2 linked regions of the Saccharomyces cerevisiae S288C genome follow. The protein of the gene in region 1 interacts with the protein of each later gene in a pairwise test. Each region holds a gene or a part of one and is shown on either strand. Other genes may lie near its edges.

Region 1 (11,679 bases):
GGTACTGATGCATCGAAAATGGAAAATTCACTTCCCTCCATTGAAAATGAAAGAAGTAGCGAGGAGCAGCCAGAAAACATTTCAAAATCAGCATCATCAGCATATTTACCATCAACTGGTGGATTGTCACTCGAAAACAGACCGCTAACTCAGGATGAAAACAGTATCTCAGAGACAGTTCAATCCACATACTTGCCAGCAGGAAGTATTTCAATGGAAGCTAAACCAATTTCTCAAGTGCAAGATGTTCCAAGAAATGTTAATAATAAAGCATCCAAACTTGTGGAGCAACATATGGCACCACCAAAGCCAAAAAGTACTGACGCAACCAAAATGAACTACTCACCATACGTGCCTCAATCAACTGCCGCTAGTGCAGATGGCGATGAATCAACGATTCTGAAAACATCGCCTGCTATATATGCAAGAACTCACCAAGCACATGCATCCAATCCATCACAATACTTTCCTTTGGTCAACCAAGCAAATGAAACTGCTTCATTCGAATTATCTGAATCAACATCCCAGGCACAAAGTAATGGAAATGTTGCTTCAGAAAATAGATTCAGCCCAATAAAGAAAGCCGAAGTCGTCGAGAAAGACACTTTTCAACCTACTATTAGGAAGGCTTCAACTAACCAATACAGGGCTTTTAAACCGTTGGAATCAGATGCGGATAAATACAATGACGTTATTGAAGATGAATCCGATGACGACAATATGTCTACTGATGAGGCAAAGAACAGAAAGGAAGAAAAAAAGAATGTGAATATGAAAAAGGAAACAAAACCAAGTAACAAGGACATAGATGACAAGTCTAATGGTTGGTTTGGTTGGTTGAAGAAAGATACTGGCGACAAAAAAGTGTATAAGGCCAAGCTAGGTCATAAAAACACACTATACTATGATGAAAAATTGAAACGTTGGGTGAATAAGGACGCAACCGAAGAGGAAAAACAAAAAATTATTGAAAGTTCGGCACCACCACCTCCTCCAATCGTGAAACGTAAAGATGGCGGCCCAAAGACAAAGCCACGTTCAGGCCCCATCAATAATTCCCTACCTCCAGTACATGCCACATCAGTTATTCCGAACAATCCAATCACTGGTGAGCCTTTGCCGATCAAAACATCCCCTTCTCCTACAGGACCCAATCCAAACAATTCTCCATCACCATCCTCTCCCATATCAAGGATTTCTGGCGTAAACTTGACTAGCAAAAAGGCAAACGGTTTGGATGATTTATTGAGTTTGGCAGGAGGACCCAAACCAGCAAGTACGAGAAGGAAGAAGAAAACAGCGAGAGGCTATGTTAATGTAATGGATAACATACAATAATTATAGTAATACGTTTTTCTTTCATGGTACCCTTATGCCTTCCCTTTTCTTGATGTATATTATATACTTATAAAAACCGTAGTAAATTTTATTAAAACAATGATTACAGGAATCCGTATTTAGGTTATGCATCGTTGTCAGTAAGAAATCAGATGAATGCGATCTGAAACTTTGCTTATACTAATATTATTCTATCATACCTCATTTTCTTGCTTCGATTAATGCAGGACGCCGGTTCCGGGTTAGGATCACCGAGAAACAGAAAGCAAGCAAGGCTTCAGTTACAATTCGAAGAAGTACTAAGGGGGTTGTCGTGGAAAAATCTTGAATCAGAAAGCGGCTGACTGGAGCATTACTAGGTTCATTACTCACTGGTTCTACTCATGAAACCTTACTTATTTGACCTAAAGCTAAAAGACACAGAGAAGCTGGATTGGAAAAAAGGCCTCTCCTCATATCTCAAGAAATCATACGGCTCCTCACAATGGAGAACATTTTATGATGAGAAAGCTACTTCAGAACTGGATCACTTAAGGAATAATGCAAATGGAGAACTAGCACCTTCTTCATTGTCGGAACAAAATCTAAAATATTACTCATTTTTGGAGCATCTTTATTTTCGCCTGGGTAGCAAAGGATCAAGATTAAAAATGGATTTCACTTGGTATGACGCAGAATACTCATCGGCCCAGAAAGGATTGAAATACACGCAACATACGTTAGCATTTGAAAAGTCTTGTACTTTGTTCAACATTGCTGTAATCTTTACCCAAATTGCGAGGGAGAATATCAATGAGGACTACAAAAACTCAATCGCAAATTTGACAAAAGCTTTTTCCTGTTTTGAATATCTATCAGAAAATTTTTTGAACTCACCTTCAGTCGATCTTCAGTCAGAAAACACTAGGTTTCTGGCTAATATTTGCCATGCAGAAGCTCAAGAATTGTTTGTCTTGAAATTATTAAATGATCAAATATCATCCAAGCAATATACATTAATCAGTAAACTTTCTAGAGCCACGTGTAACCTCTTTCAGAAATGTCACGATTTTATGAAAGAAATAGATGACGATGTGGCCATTTATGGTGAACCCAAATGGAAAACGACAGTTACTTGCAAACTGCATTTCTACAAATCGTTAAGCGCTTATTATCACGGTTTACACCTTGAAGAAGAAAATAGAGTTGGCGAAGCAATTGCTTTTCTCGATTTTTCTATGCAACAATTGATTTCATCCCTTCCATTCAAAACGTGGTTAGTGGAATTTATAGACTTTGATGGGTTTAAAGAAACTTTAGAAAAGAAACAAAAGGAGTTGATTAAAGATAACGATTTTATATATCATGAAAGCGTTCCAGCCGTTGTGCAGGTTGATTCCATTAAGGCGCTCGATGCAATAAAATCTCCAACATGGGAGAAGATATTAGAACCATATATGCAAGATGTTGCAAATAAATGTGACTCTTTGTACAGAGGAATTATTCCCCTAGATGTCTATGAAAAGGAAAGTATTTACTCAGAAGAAAAAGCGACGCTGTTGAGAAAGCAAGTTGAAGAAACTGAGACAGCAAATTTGGAATATTCTTCCTTCATCGAATTTACAAATCTACCCAGGCTCTTGAGTGATTTGGAAAAACAATTTAGTGACGGAAATATTTTCTCGAATACGGATACACAGGGACAATTGATGAGGGACCAAATTCAGACATGGTGTAAATTTATCCAAACAAATGAATTTAGGGATATAGAAGAACAGATGAACAAAATTGTTTTCAAAAGGAAACAAATTTTAGAAATCCTTTCTGCCTTACCCAATGATCAAAAAGAAAATGTTACAAAACTAAAATCTTCTTTAGTAGCTGCTTCAAACTCAGACGAAAAATTGTTCGCATGCGTAAAACCACATATTGTCGAGATCAATCTATTGAATGACAATGGAAAAATATGGAAGAAGTTTGACGAATTTAATCGCAATACGCCTCCACAACCTAGCCTATTGGATATCGATGATACCAAAAACGACAAGATATTAGAGTTGTTAAAACAAGTAAAGGGCCATGCGGAAGACTTAAGAACATTGAAAGAGGAACGTTCGAGAAATTTGTCTGAACTAAGAGACGAAATCAACAACGATGATATCACAAAATTATTAATTATTAATAAGGGGAAATCCGATGTTGAGCTCAAAGATTTATTCGAGGTGGAACTGGAGAAATTCGAGCCTTTGAGCACAAGAATAGAGGCGACAATTTACAAACAATCTTCAATGATAGATGACATCAAAGCCAAGCTAGATGAAATTTTTCACCTTTCAAATTTCAAGGATAAATCTTCTGGGGAAGAAAAATTTTTAGAAGATCGTAAGAATTTTTTTGATAAGCTGCAAGAAGCAGTGAAATCATTCAGTATTTTTGCATCCGACTTGCCAAAAGGAATAGAGTTCTATGATTCATTATTCAATATGAGTAGAGACTTAGCAGAAAGAGTGAGAGTTGCAAAGCAGACCGAGGATTCAACAGCTAATTCTCCCGCTCCTCCCCTCCCTCCACTTGATTCTAAAGCGTCTGTCGTTGGGGGTCCTCCATTACTGCCCCAAAAAAGTGCAGCCTTTCAGTCATTATCTAGACAAGGGCTCAATTTAGGGGACCAATTTCAAAATCTCAAAATAAGTGCCGGCAGTGATTTACCTCAAGGACCCGGTATTCCACCAAGAACTTATGAAGCTTCGCCATATGCTGCAACGCCTACTATGGCAGCCCCACCAGTACCACCGAAACAATCGCAAGAGGATATGTACGACTTGAGAAGACGTAAAGCAGTTGAAAACGAAGAACGTGAACTGCAAGAGAATCCTACGTCCTTTTACAATAGACCCTCTGTTTTTGATGAAAATATGTACTCCAAATACAGCAGTTAGGTGCATTTCTTATTTCTTAATTTTATTGTAGCTTTTTTTTTTCAACTAATATGATAATTATATATATACCGGATTTGTTGAAAGCCAGTTTTGCAAGGATAAAGAAACTGCGATTTAGCAAAAGTCCCTTTAATGCTTCTTCCATCTTTGATCTACTTTCTTTTGAGTATTAGGTGTATACCATACACTTTCAGATCCAAAATCAGCCTCGGACATTTTTACAAACGAAATAAGGCCATTATCCATAATAGCGATAATAAAGCTCCGATATCCCGTCTTCAATCTACGATTTTGCTGTATGTGAGGTGGGTACGCCTTTCTCTTCTTTTTCGTGCTAGACTGTGCAGTTTTTTTTTGAAAACTTGCTTTCATAGACGACTCACTTTTTTCAGTTTGAGATTTCGCGCTCCTCTTATGAATATATTCCTTTCGTGGGATATCTTCAACGTAGGAGTTTGTCTCCCAATCGTCATCATCCTCGATTTCGCTTAAAAATTCGAATTTATAATCAAGTGAGGAAAACATAGATCGCAGCTCTTTATAGGTAGGAAAATGCTGAAGATCGTCATTTTTATTGTAAACGAAAACTTGGAAATCAGGAAGACCGGGGTCTCTTTTCTTGAAATTAGAATGGGGTTTCCATACTTTAAATGTCAAGGGAATATCCTTTACCTTTTGAAATTCCCTATCAGATTGTGCATCCAATAGCTCTTTTTTATTCTTTGGTACAGCCACGGAACGAACAAGCCTATTTAAACCCTGGTATAACTGTGGTGAAGTCGTATATTTACGAAAAAAAAAATTCCACTTAGAATAGAAGAAACCACTAAACAGCGATAACTCTTGTATTTTAAACAATGAAAGTAATCTCCAAGTGATTGCTTGTAAATTACTTCGTTGCTTTTTCAATGGGAAAAAGGAAGTCTTGACTGCTGCTTCTTGATTGCTGGGTTTTAGAATAAAACCCAACCTTTTTAAATGAGCAAACACAAAATATTGGTCCATTTCCTGTTGCGATGAAAACAGCGAATACAAATCCTCCATACTGAGTAAAATCTCTGTTTCGTGCTTTGAGCTTTTGTTAGAGCCTGCTTCTAATCTATAATAAGGAAGAATAGTGCCTCTCTCTGCCAAATAAACAAACTCATGGAAGTCAAGCCAGAGTTCGCCTGTGCTATCAGCCCTTCCCATCGTTTGCATAAAGCTGCCTTTGGGTTTAAGTAGAACGGCTTGATGTTTATGGGGAACATAGTATCCTCTTACTTCAGATTTTACTGTTGTGCCTCTTATTGAGTCTGATATGGTATCAAACATGGCTTTACTTGCATTATAGAGAAGCAGATCTTGCAAATTAGTCCCATCTGGTTCATAGTCTTTTTCACCCCTCTTTGGAAGTGAAAGAGCAGCATTTTTGCTAACGAGCGATGCGAGTTGCGACCAATCTTGTTGTAGTTCTTCTTCTTCTTCTTCTTCTTCTTCAAAGCCCGGATTAGATGTGGTCACTTGATCAGTTTTCTTCCCAGCGAATTGCATTTAAATTGGCAGAAGAACAGAGGTTTTATGTATGTTTATATCCAAACGTTTCGATAGCTCAAATGAATAATTTTTCATACTGAGATGAAGCTCTGCAGAGTTCGACTAAACTGTTTCTAGTTTCCCTTTGGCGCAACTTAACTATGAAAAATAATAAAATAAAAAAAAAGTCCAAGCCATAATCAATAGACAGCTAATAACCTGAATTTTAACAAGAGAATATGAAAACATTATCAATACTGATTTGAATATACCCGTAAATTCTATAAGACTCCATTAATATACCGTATTATATTACAAGTTGATAATACATAAATGCGTTAAATAAAACAAAAATGACCTTGTATACGCGTCATTCCAATGCAAGAATTTGTTTATCGTAAAGTTTTGATGAAGGTGTCTAAATTATACTCCTCCTCGTATTGAGATGGGTCCCATAGCTCTTTCAATTCACCGAGGGCCTCTTTGGCTTTGCCAGTTAAACCAGTCTCGTTGGCAATATCTTCCATGCCCTTGGCTGCTTGGGAATCGCCATTATTCTTTTCCTCATTGTCCTGTGAGGTAACGTTATCGGGGTCGAAGAGATCAAGCAGCTGATGTGTATCCATGGATGCTAATCCACTGTTTTGCTGATTAACAACTGTAGAAGCTATATTCATTTTGAATTTCTGCAAACCCATGATTTTTTCTTCAAGCGTACCTTTCGTAATAATTCTGTAAACATTAACAACCTTTTTCTGACCAATTCTATGTGCTCTGTCCATTGCCTGTAGATCATTCATTGGATTCCAGTCATGCTCTACAAAAATGACGGTGTCTGCACCAGTTAAATTCAGACCCAGCCCTCCGACCTTGGTGGTCAACAGTAGGCAATCAATAGAGGGATCTTCGTTAAATTTCCGAACAACTTTTTGTCTGTCTCTTGGGTCAATGCTTCCATCTAGCCTCATATAGGTTACGGAGGGCATATACTTTTTAAACAAGTCATTTTCAACCATGTCTAGCATATCTTTTAGTTGGCAGAAAATCAGGGCTCTGTGTTGTGATATGACATTTTGAATAGGAAAATTCTGATCTTGGCTTGCTTTTTTGTCGATATCTTCTTCACCTATACCACATTCAAAGAGTAATGTTCTCAATGCGCTCAGTTTTGGAGCGTTGATAATATCGTGTAAATCTAGACCAGTTTGCTTTAAATAGTCTTGTACTTGCGCTAATTGCGGGTGATTTGGTGAAAGGACCAAAGCTGGATGATTACACAATTTTCTCATGTATTGTAAAGCTTGGAAAATATGTTGCTTGCCATCAGCAATCTCAGAATTTTCAATATCTTTCTCAACTACATTTTTTTGTTTTTTAGTAAAATCCATGTATAGTTGTTTTTGTAAATCACCTAATTCACAGTAGTAATCCTGAATAATTTTAGGTGGTAAATCAGATAGAACGTCTTCCTTCAATCTTCTCAGCATGAAAGGTAGAACTTGCTTATGTAGTGCCTCCAAAGCCAGTACACCTGCTTCCTGCTCCTTAGATGATGTTTTACTATTTCTTGACGCAGCGATTGGCTTTGCGAACCTTTCCTGGAACATCTTTTCCGTTCCCAAAAATCCCGGCATTAAGAAGTCAAACAGAGACCACAATTCTAAAACGTTGTTTTGGATGGGAGTTCCGGTTAAAATTAATCTATGGTTTGCAGTAATTTCTTTAACAGCCTTAGCAAGTTTTGATTGAGAGTTTTTAATTATATGTCCTTCATCCAAAACACAATAATTATATTCAGTTTTGTTTAGGACTGCGAGATCATTTCTAGCTACGTCATATGATGTTACAATAATATCAGCATCACTTAACTGTGGTCTCAGAGTTAATCTGACAGTTGGGCCACCGGCATACACAACAACCTTTAAAAAGGGAGCATACTGGTCAAACTCGTTTTCCCAATGGCCAGTTAAAGATGGGGGGCATATTATGAGAGATGGTAAGGCTCTACTTTCAACAGAACGCGTTTTTTCATAATCTTCCTTCCTCAAATATTGATCGCTTGCGATAATGCAGATGGTTTGTAATGTTTTACCCAAACCCATATCGTCACACAATATTCCATGTAGATGATATTTGTTCAGGAATGCCAACCAGTTAACACCATCTTGCTGATATTTTCTTAAAGTCGCCTTGATGGCAATGGGTAATTTAAATGGCTTAGCTTTAGAAGGATCCATCATTTGTTGGATAAAATCACGCTCCCTCTCTCTGCTTGCCACTAGTTCTTCTGGGAGTCCTTTTGGATCGGCGATACCAGCTTCTAAAGGAACTAATTTGATGATAGAAGCAAATGTTGTTGTAGCTAAATTCCTCACATCTTCGTTCGAATCACTCATGCGACCCAAAAGTGGAACTATTAAGAAAATGACGTAAGGTAGAACATCGGTTTCCATAGAAAGTGATAAATGATAAATAAGCTCCGTGGACCCTTGACGATCGGATAGAGAACCAGCGCTATTCATTAAAGGCAAAATCTCACGTATGGTGTAAGCCATTACCTCCACGGAGGAAATTTTAGCCAGATCAGCAAAAGTTCTTGCAGCTGAATAACGAAAAACAGATAAGTTTGATCTTAAGAACGTTAATAAAACAGGGAAACGGGTAAAAACCTCACTAGAACGTAGCGAATCAGACATAAATGGGAATAGAGCTCTTAGTACACCAAATGAGTCGACTATTTTTTGACCTTGCTCGTTGTCAACTTTACTTGCTTCCTCATTTTCATGATCAGATAATGAATCAAATAAAATCGATCTAAGCTGAGGTAGTTTCTGTAATATAGAAGGCCCAAGAACTTCAAATAGTATTTTTAACGTAATCAACCCACCCTTCCTTTTTAGTTGAGCCTCTTCCGACATCTTTGCGAGATTAATGTCATCTTGTGCGGCAATCGAATTAGATTCTTTTATTAACGTCAATATTTTTTCTTTATATTCTGCATTTACGGAGAAATCAGGAACTTCTGAAGTATCAACGCATAAAAATCCGCAGAGATTTTTGACTATCTTACCAGACACATTAACTTTATTATTTTCTAACAGTTGCTGAATCAAATGTACGACCGATTCTCCGGCCATCGTTTGTAACTTTTCATTCCTTTCTTCTTTAACACTGTCCATTAGCGACCTGATAATGGGGTTTAATTTAAGAGGTAGACCATCAAATAACAAGATGGATGATGCGTAATTAGCGAGAATGCTGCCTGTACGAAGTTTTGCGGATTCTTTGGCTGAATTGATTGCCATCAACACGCGATGCTTAGAATCTTCTAATGGCTTCTTGGCCAATAGTTTGTAAGAGTTGTTCATGGATTTGAACATTTTATCATAGTATTCGCCGTACACTTTTTCTGCTGTTTCAACACCAAACGCATGTGGACCGGCTTCTGTTTCGCCTTGAACCACAATTGCTACGTTGGGTAGTTTGTACTGAGGTAACATACCTACATCCACAAAGGTAGCCAGTAGGCTTTGACATTGAGTCCTCAGAGCTTTTAAGCTAGGTACTAGCTCCCTAAATACAGGAAATTCATCGCGATTCAGTAACTGTTTATTCATCACAGGACTGAAAATCTCTGATACAAAAGAAGGTAATTTTTCCCCTTCTGGATGCTTTTGTAACCACGAGGAGCAAAACTGTGAAACAATAATGCCTGCCAACATACGTGGAGTTGAGAATGGCAGCTCTAAACAACGAACCAGAACGTTTGTGAAGAAGGATTGAAGCGTGGAATCTTGAAACATTGACAATGTCAAAGCAAATGCCTTTGCTCCCATTATTCTAGTGTTCAATATTACGTCCAATCCTAGCAAAGTAATATCTCCAGCAATCATAGGTGCATCGATATTGATATGTTCATTATTTTTTGGTATTGGAATGTCAGAATCTGTTGTGGTTTCAGATATAGAACGTTTTTTTTCTGGATGTAATTGATAGTGCTGGGAAGGCTTTAGAATATATTGTGATTCCATGGCATAATTCTTTCCCTTTTCCCCTACTGGCGTATTTAGAAGATGTAGTATTGGCTGCAAATGTTTACTGAAAACATGATCTAAAGTTTTTTCGGTATGCTTAACTTTATAATGCTCCAATAACGCAACATAAACATCAAAAGACAGTTGCAATAGTTCCGGGTTTTGCTCCAGTAAAATATTCTGAAAAACTAGACGGAATACCTTGCCGTTTAACCAGTTTTTAGTAGAATCATCCTTTATTGATAAGAATGCAATCAGTAGATTCAAAACAGCCCTCCTCACAGAAGAAATCGAATGGCGTAAAAAGGGATACAATTTCGGTACCAGTGACTTGAATGACCACTCTGAAGGATGCTCTAAAGCCTTGTTCTTTAAAATATCTAGTACTTCTTGGTGGTCGCACAACTTTGCCAATAGATCCATTATAGAACCTACGCTTGAAGATATATCATCATCTAAACGAGCTAGTAATGACCATATCGTGGTCACCAAAATTTCTATGGTAGAGTTGTTTAATTTGACAAATTCGCTGGTTATTGGGGTTAAAATTGAGGCTGCTACGCTTTGAACGTCATCATCACTTTGGTTTAAACCATATAGCACTATACGGACAACGTTTTCTAAAAGGCCATGGGCAAATAGGAAATTTGTCTTTATGCTGACGAAGTAACGAATCCCTAAAAGCCCTCCATGGGTAGCTTCCCATATTTTGTTCGGTAGACCTGTTTGTAGTGGATCTTGTAGAACCAGTTGTTCTAAACAATTAAATATTTTAATTGATAAGGTACTGTCTAGGTGAATTAATAACGCAGCTAGAGTTTGCGCAACTGACTCTCGTACAGGGGCCACAACTGTATCATAAACATAATCACCAAATCTATCCAATGCAAATACTGTAAGTAGACGGGACGCCAAGTCTTCTAAGCTTCTAGAATTCCTCAGGTTGTTCTCCTCTCGGGTATTCCCCTTAACCCTGCTGACTCCATAAGCATGTTTTTTTACCAATTCTCGAAGACCCAACGCAGCTCCATGCCTTATTTCCCAATTTTCGCTCATTAGATTATCTAAAAGTAGTTCATAAATGCCTTGGAATTGCCAAACTAGGCCAGCAACAATTTCGTGTTGTTCTAGCAATGGCCTTACTGTGGATTCTATCATTAGTTTACTTTCATCGGCTTGTTCAGTAATCTCCAGTTTGGGATTTAGCTGGTTACTGGTGGGAGAAGTGGCTAGCGATGCAGCAGAATTGGTCATATTTTTTCCATTTAATAAAGTCTTGGAAACTGAACTTTCCGTTATATCTACAGGATGTTTGGGAGTATTCTTAGCACTCATTTTCTTTTTTCGCCTTGCCATAGCAAGCATCCTTGCTGACTTCTTGTTAGCATTACTTTTATTTTCATTCGCCTTATCAGACGCATTTAGCATAGATGTTTCCTGTTTTATATCATCAGTTTTAGCTTGTTTTCTTATATTATCGTCAGCCTTACCAAGAACATTGTAATCATTCATACTCGACGCCAGGAGCACTTTACCTGACTTTAAAATTTCGTTCAATTTCCAATCAGACAGAGAACTGAGGTGATGGTCCTCCTGTAAGAGATTCAACTGATTGTTCTGAGTAGCCTCTTCCAATTTTATTTTCATTTCATGTTCCAACTTCACCTGAGCATTATCCAATGGAGAACCTTCATTTGTACCACCTACCAAGTCAGATTCATTCGGATCCCAAGAAGGAGCATGGGCAACTATGCCACCCACAGCTCTTGCTGCAGTAACACGCGTTTCCCATTTCTTCACTAGTAAAAAGGGGTAAACTCTGGACAGCAACGAAAGAATGTCTTCGGGGTGCTGTTTGGCCAAGTCTCCCATTT
Region 2 (7,639 bases), on another chromosome or scaffold:
AATTTTTTCACCTATTTCGGCATGCTATGCTTGTTCTATTTGGCCAGGCTGTTGGGGTCTCCATGGCACAATATTGATGGTTATAAAGCTGCCAATGCCCCAGTATACGTAACTAGATTGGCCAATCCAAACTTTGAGAAACAAGACGTAAAATACGGTTCTGCTACCTCTAGGGATGGTATGCCATATATCAAGACGCAGGAAATAGACCCTACTGGAATGTCTGATGTCTTCGCTTATATACAGAAGAAGAAACTGGAATGGGACGAGAAACTGAAAGATCAAATTGTTGAAACTAGAACCCCCATTTAATATATCTCTGCGTACATATGTATATATATATATGTGTGTATATACATGTATGTCTGTATAGAAAACGCATATCAACTGATATATATACACGTGAAGCAAAAAAGGCATTGCCTCTGTCAGAGAAACGAACTATCCTCGTTGCTATAGTGTCTTCTGCACTTATCGCGTAGACTTTCTATTGGCACTCTGTCATGGCATTTAATCTTGTACACATTCTTTAATTCTTCTTGCAAAAGAAGGTACTCTTCATGCAAATGATGACTTTGGAGTGAATTGACTAATCCTGAGTCGTTCCAGAAACTTTTTAAGGCGTTCGTTTCATGATTTATTATGTCATCCAACCGTCTCATATTAGGTTTCGAATTTGTTACAAATTCTCGCCTTGATAACCTCTCCAGGTCTTCTTTGTTGCATCCAGGTACACTCTCTAACAACATTGAACCATTGCCCTCCGGATTCGCACTGTCATATTTATTAGCCTCTTCGCCGCACATGATGTCAATATCGGGTCGATAGCTGTCTATGCCGTCTAGATGGCCCACCTTATGAAACACAAGACAATGTGCTGCCCTTTCGGCTTTCAAAAAACTGTCAATTCTACTTTCCCTTAGCGTATTGCGCTCACAAAACGGTGAATAATCGTATTGCTTTTCTTCCTCGATGTGGCTCAAAGTATTCAGATAGTCGACTTCGTCTACGTCCATATTTATCCCATAGAGATCATCTGCAGTCCTCTCCTCTAGTACTTCGCCTGTTATGGGCATCGAATCATCATTTATTACCCTTGTCGACCTTTTCCGTAGCGGTGTGGTAAAATTGTTAAAGTTGGCTTTGTTGAACCTTGGTGTTTTCCAGGGCGGCAATGACGGTAGTTGAAACAACTTGCCTTCGTTCTTATCACCATTTTGGTTCATCTTACTTTGTCACAGCTATTTCTTTCCTTCCTGAATTTGTCCTTCCAAACCTAGTTCCCTGTTCTTAATTTCCTTTTATTTAGGTTTTTTTTTTTGTTTTGTCAAGAGCCGCGCACAAAATATGGTATTATTATAGAAAAGTTGGACTTAAAAGCTTGAAAAAGCTTAGATTTTATATTCATATGCTGGTATATATGTACGACTAAATAATATAAATTTGATTATAACAATCCACTCAAGGTCAGCTTCTCCAGGAATGGTGAAAGATCTTCACGACGTATTTCAATTATGGAACTTTCAAAATTATCTATTCTCACTTTAGCATCCGTTTCTGCAGTTATTTGTTGAAACGCCATGCTGAAATTATTCAAAATAGGTTTTTTTGTGTGTATCGTGTCTAGTCCGCGAGGATACCTAGGTGTTAACCCAGCAACCAAGTAAGTGTCCGTATTTTCATCTATGCTGGCAAGCACCATGGGCAACAATTGCTTGTCTTCAGATTCCGCACAGCATTCTATGAGCCAATTTCCTAATCTTAATAACGTCAATGGGTTTCTGTACAAGTCTAAATCGGGTCCGTCTTGTAAGACGCATAATCTATAAATTCTTAAATGCTTGATTAATTTCTTCTCCAATATAGCAACCCCGGTATTAAAAATTGCTCTCTGTAAGTCTTGTGCTAGTTGAATGCCACGGTTTAATAGTTCCACCTTTCTGTCATCTAGAGCATCCCAACTGAGCCAAAAATTCGAAACCCATCTTTTTCTCAAATTCGTCAATTTTTGAGCGCTGTTATCTTCTTCTTCCTCTCCATCTGTATCGTCATTATTGTCATTATTTATTTTCACACTATCCTTATCAGTTGAATTACCTACTTCCAAAAGAGCTGTTAGTGCTTCGACAAATTCACTGGCACTTATGGACCCACGATATCCAAGAGTTCTAACAAACCCATCTCTAATTATATCTTGCAACCCATAACGATCCAAATTTTTGTCAAATATTATCCCAAGTTCTCTCTTAATAGAATGATCCATGTATAACCATGTTTCTTGTGCAGTACTTAATGGTATACCCATTCTAGCAAACATCTTATGCAATCTCTTTTTCCCATTTTCATTCCATAGGGATAGTTTGGCATTGACATAGTTAGAATAATAAAAACTGTCGTACAATGAAGAATGCCTCAGTAAGAAAAGGTAGTAATCCGGTTGGATGTTTAACGTCAATGTATCAGGGGTCTTTACTGAGTTTCTACTGCTTGGTGTGAGACGCTTCACTTCATCTTGCAATAAGGGGTATAATCGATTGTAAACTTGAGCATATGCTATATCTAACGAGGTCGTACCAAGTATATTCAACCACAGGTTTGAAAGATTTGTTTCTCCGATAGCAGACAATAATGAATAGATTTGTGCAGATATCGAGTTAACCACTGTTGTGCCTTGAGAATAGTATTCCTCCAAAACACCTTCATATTCATGGATTTGCTTCTTTCGTTGCTTTCTTTTTGAGAGATCATTCGGTCCTATTGAAGAATTACCTCTTTTATTAGATATTGTCTCATCTTCGTCTTCTTCGTCCTCGTCTGTGACTTCATCGGCATCAGTTGCCTCATCGTCACCCCCATTATTATCGTTCTCGTCACCTGAGAGCTCATCGTCACCACTCTCCTCGTCCAGTTCAAGCAATTTATAGTATGCTTCTTTTTGTTCGCCTAATGTGTCATCCACCGTACCGTCGTCAAAACATTGGATGATTTGTGATCCAAATATATTGTCGAGATTCCACGGTCTATGAGCATCCAACACGTAGATGTCTCTCCTGAAACTTTGTTCCCCCGACTTTTCATCTGTATCGATAACATACTCTTGGGGATCGATTTCTAAGAAAGCCTCCAGATCAATAACGCCTCCAAACCCTACTAATAGCAGACTATTTATATTGTCATCCAATTGAGAATAGTGGCGTCGTAATTCAGAGTACCCAAATATCGGTACTATTTGAGATTGTACCAATTGTTTTTTGAATAATAGTGACAACATCTTCGTCGCACACAGCGCATCGATGTTAAGACAAGAAACGAAAATGACCAATTGACATGATGAATGAGACGATGAATTCCTTAAGATTTTGTTGTAGGCTTCGCTAAACTGGCTGATTCCATAATACATGTGCGAGAGTATATTCTTGTTATTATGTGCCTTCTCTCTAGTGTTTATTGCTACACTTTTATTGCTCTATAGTGCGTTGTATAAAGTAGCCACAATGGATTGTTGGCATTACTACAGCTTCATTATTTACTGAAATTTCTTAAAACGCGTTAGATGATATGTTGAAAAAAAAATACGCGTCGTGAATGAAACTTATTAGGTTTTACGACTAGTTAAAGCAAGAGAGAGAAGATCGAATTGACTAAATGTCTTCACTTTGAATTTATTCTAGTAGGATTCGCATGGCTTTTTCATAATAAAAATCTCGTTTATTTATGCTTTTGGTTGGTTTTCCTTTGATAAATGCGGCCCTTGCTTTGTTTGTGGTTGCAACGAGTTCGTCAAATGATAAATTGACGCTTAACACAGACGCATGGGAACCACGTAATTGAATTAATGTTTTCTTCTCGAAACAATTGCAATGTGACTTTCTTGTTAGGCAATGTGAGATGAAAGATGGCCTTTACCTTTGCAGATGTTTGGGTGTGGCTCTGAGCTGTCCTTTATAATTATAGAGATAATTTTGATGAAAGCTCAGAAGACCTTTAATGACGAAAAATAGGCATGGTTTGCCAGGCAAAAAACGACCAAATTTTACTGTAGTATGAGTCAAAGTCGCTGGAGTATCGTTCTCATCTTTGCATTGTTTATTTTTGGCAGCACTGGAGTGAATGCCTTCTTCAATTTCGGTCATCATCAGCAACAGCAACAGCAACAGCAACAATCATATGAAGATCAAGTTTTAAATAACCCTTGTGATGGGTATTTGTGTCCGGACACCCTAACGTGCGTTGCACAGCAGAAAGACTGTCCTTGTCCCTTCCCTAAATCTCAGTTGAAATGTGTCCTTCCTGATAATAAATTTGTTTGCATATCCAAACCAGCCACACACAATGAAAAGTTTAGAGCAATATATGATGACCCTGTCAAGGGCCCCAAAGCAAAGAACAAGGGGTTTAGGGATTGTGGATGGGTATCAGATGCTTACAAAAACCATTGAAATCTGTATAAAAAATACATACACATACATATATACATACGAAGGATTTATCTTCTCATTGATATTCTAGTCTCTATTTCTTCCGGGAACCCATCTCTTATACAATACTTCACCAACTTGAAAACTATTGAACAATTTAGTAAAGTTGTTTGATTTCCATAGTGCTATCGCCTCCTGTTCCGAGATTAGTCTCTCCACGTAGCATAACACAAACGTCTTCTTTGCGCCGCCCACAACACGGGCTATGCTAGAATACCACGTATAATCTTTAGAGACGTCGTGGTCAAGACCCATAACACAAAATTCAGCGTGTTGAAATGGTGGCCCTCTCTTATATAATAAATAATCGCAGCCGAATTTTATACCAGATCTTACGCACCAACCGTGTGATCTGTAGTGATGGTATATAACGTATGATCTGACAAAGGAGTGAATATCTTTATATTTGGCATCGAATTGAAACAGTTTCCCTGCCAGGCACGCGGGAGATATGTCAAGAACAGGAAGTGCAAAAGTTAAAAACATAGCTTCCACTGGCATTAGTTCTAGTGACTCTAGTGGCAAAAGATCACCGTTCTCATCAAGAAGATTGTTGTCTTCATCTCTTAAATTTGATTCGGAAATGTCTTGCTGTTGTGCAACGATGCCCACGTCTTCTGTTTGTTTTAGTTTAAATTTTCTTAATGATTCTCGTTGTTTCTCAAGGAGGATGTTTTCCTCATCGATATGACCACCTTTTTTTCTTAATTCTAGTAATTCTCTTTCTAACTTCGCACGTTCTTTCTTGAACTCTAATCTTTGTAATCTCCTCTGTTGTGTGACCTTCTCTAAAGTCATCTCCGTTTCAGTATTACTCTTTGTTCCTCCCCGATTGTGGAGGGGAGTATCATTGAGACCCAGTCTGGCCTCTGTTCTAGCTTTCCATGTAGGCTCACTCCTGCTAAATTGACCAGTGCCAAAAAATCCATTATTCCAAAGATATAGCATTTGCTTGTCATCTTGAACCGTGATGTGAAGAGTGGTATCTCCTATAAAATCTACATGTACTTTATCGTTCAGTGCGTTCGTACTCTTGTAATAGCGGTATGCCCAATATAGCCAAGATAACGGATTATGAAGGATTAACTCTGGAAGGTCATCTACGGGGTGAATTGGAAGAGGATACTTGTAACGCTTCTGATTGACCCTCCCTTTAGACATGCTCCTTCTTGAGTCCTTCGTACTTATTGTCTTTTCAGCGTCGTGTTACAATGAAACGTTTTAGCATATTGAATTTCGATGGAAGTTCAAATGTTTTATGCACCGAAATGAAATACTAGAGCAAAGAGATGTTAGTGAAAGCACCAGCTAATATAGCTCTTTCAAATTTACGTGAAAAAGTTATGTGTGGCAATATAAATCTATAGCAAGAGTGGCTTCTATAAAACATTTTTGACAAGAAATAAAATTCAGATACCGTTGTAGTCTTGAGAAATCATTGTGCTCACATCGATTAACTTCGAGCAACATAAATCATGCTATCATCATTAAAATAAAGTGGAAGTATTAAGAACAGATATAATAGCACGAGAAAAAACTCGTTCAACTAAGTCTAGACACACCTCCTGGTGTTATTTAGTCCGTTCTCTTAACAACCAAAGCCTACGAGCTCTCAAACAGCTCTTTTGTTTTAACTTCCTATAGAACTGAATGGGAAACTTGCATCTTGAAGAAAATTTTTCTCTTTAAATATCTGACTGAAGTATTGATCCCTTCAAAAAAAAAAAAAAAGAGAGTTGGTTACCCATATGGGAATAATATTTCTTAGGGCTAATTGACAAAGGATTGCTAACAGAAAATGCAAAGGACTAATAACTTGAATCATTTTTATATCAGGTTTATATAGGTATACGTTCAGTCTAATTAATAATTTATAGTTTACAGTAGTTTTTTACAGTAGTTTTTTTTTTTTTTTTTCAGTTCCATGATTTTTTTGTTCCTTTGATTCGTGTAGTAAACCTCCTCTTCTTGGTTTTCACGATATACTTAGCTGGATGCCAGGTCTGTAAAGTATTGACGCAAAATCAGTGAAAGCATTTCGGGTAGTTCGCTTATATCGTGTACAACAACATAAAATTCAAAAGGAAATGTGTCCAAGTATTTGGTAATCTTTAATTGCGGATTGCCATACTGATCTGGAATGTAGTTCACTTGGCTCATGTCTAAGATGGATTCATTAGAAGTAATACCATCTATGATGACAAAAACCAGCATAATTTTGTTTTCTCTAGCACGGCGGACCAGTTTTTGTATTGTTTCATGGTCTTCGCAAATACCATCAGAGATTACAATTTCTAGTTGCCATTGGTCATTATGTACCATAGCGCGAGCACGTTCAAAAATTTTAGTAGATTCAGCCACAAGTTTCTTAACGTCTGTTTTAGTTTCTTGGAAACCAAACCATTGAAAAGCTCTTGCGCCAGATTCGTTACTAAATTGTTGGTCAAATGAGTGAACTTCTTTAATATTTTCACCGAATTTGACAATAGATAACCCTCCAGCCTCTAGCTGAGTTAACGTCTTGGAGACCAAGCATAAACTATCAAAAGCGAGTTTAACGCATTTAGATTCGCTCATAGACTTAGAATCATCAAGCGCAATCATTATTTGATACTGACGTTTGCTTGGTTTAGTTCTTCTCAACCAGATTTTATCTTTACGGAATTGTGAGGCAATATATGGAATGATCCGTTTCATATTCAGTCTCTTACCTGTTTTGTAATCACCCTTCAGCTTTGTAGCCAAGGTAGGTTCCAAGATTAGTCTTAATTGTTCTCCAAGACGTGATACTAAATCGGCGGTCGAAATTTCACTTTTATGCCACAATTCACGGGATTCTTCTAACGATCTTTCCGGTGTCAAACTAGCACTTGCATCAGGTGGATTATCCTCAATGTTTTCAATTAAAGATTGTATTTCACTGTCATCCTCTTGATCAGCCGAGAAGTGTTCATTTGAAAGTTCGTTCTCAAAATCTTCCTCACTCTTTCTTTTACCGATGAATCCTGACTTTTTGCTGTCAACGTCATTGTTAGCGTCATGCGCGTCGATATCAGATAGCATCTCTTCTTCATCAATATCCATTTTTTCATCATCGGCGTCTTCTACTAACTCTTTCTGGTCCACTTCTTGCTCCTCCCTATCATCATCAATGGCCATGT

Evidence for each region. Proteins that work in one complex are often made in the same cells at the same time.
Region 2: the proteins of SEN54 (region 1) and SEN2 interact in binary tests that used the Saccharomyces cerevisiae proteins (3 or more experiments, as listed by UniProt).

What each region holds. Positions count from the first base shown.
Region 1 is NC_001148.4:392,317-403,995, forward strand, and holds SEN54 (tRNA splicing endonuclease subunit SEN54), read right to left. Parts: upstream 5,790-11,679; coding exon 4,386-5,789; downstream 1-4,385. Other genes in the region: COPII coat assembly protein SEC16, read left to right, coding at 1-1,338; BRO1 (Bro1p), read left to right, coding at 1,722-4,256; MOT1 (DNA-binding ATPase), read right to left, coding at 6,164-11,679. UniProt on the Saccharomyces cerevisiae protein: Non-catalytic subunit of the tRNA-splicing endonuclease complex, a complex responsible for identification and cleavage of the splice sites in pre-tRNA. It cleaves pre-tRNA at the 5' and 3' splice sites to release the intron.
Region 2 is NC_001144.5:342,542-350,180, forward strand, and holds SEN2 (tRNA splicing endonuclease subunit SEN2), read right to left. Parts: upstream 5,640-7,639; coding exon 4,506-5,639; downstream 1-4,505. Other genes in the region: ERG27 (3-keto-steroid reductase), read left to right, coding at 1-312; APC9 (anaphase promoting complex subunit 9), read right to left, coding at 429-1,226; DNA replication initiation factor CDC45, read right to left, coding at 1,448-3,400; LCL2 (Lcl2p), read left to right, coding at 4,044-4,439; REA1 (AAA family ATPase midasin), read right to left, coding at 6,465-7,639. UniProt on the Saccharomyces cerevisiae protein: Constitutes one of the two catalytic subunit of the tRNA-splicing endonuclease complex, a complex responsible for identification and cleavage of the splice sites in pre-tRNA. It cleaves pre-tRNA at the 5'- and 3'-splice sites to release the intron.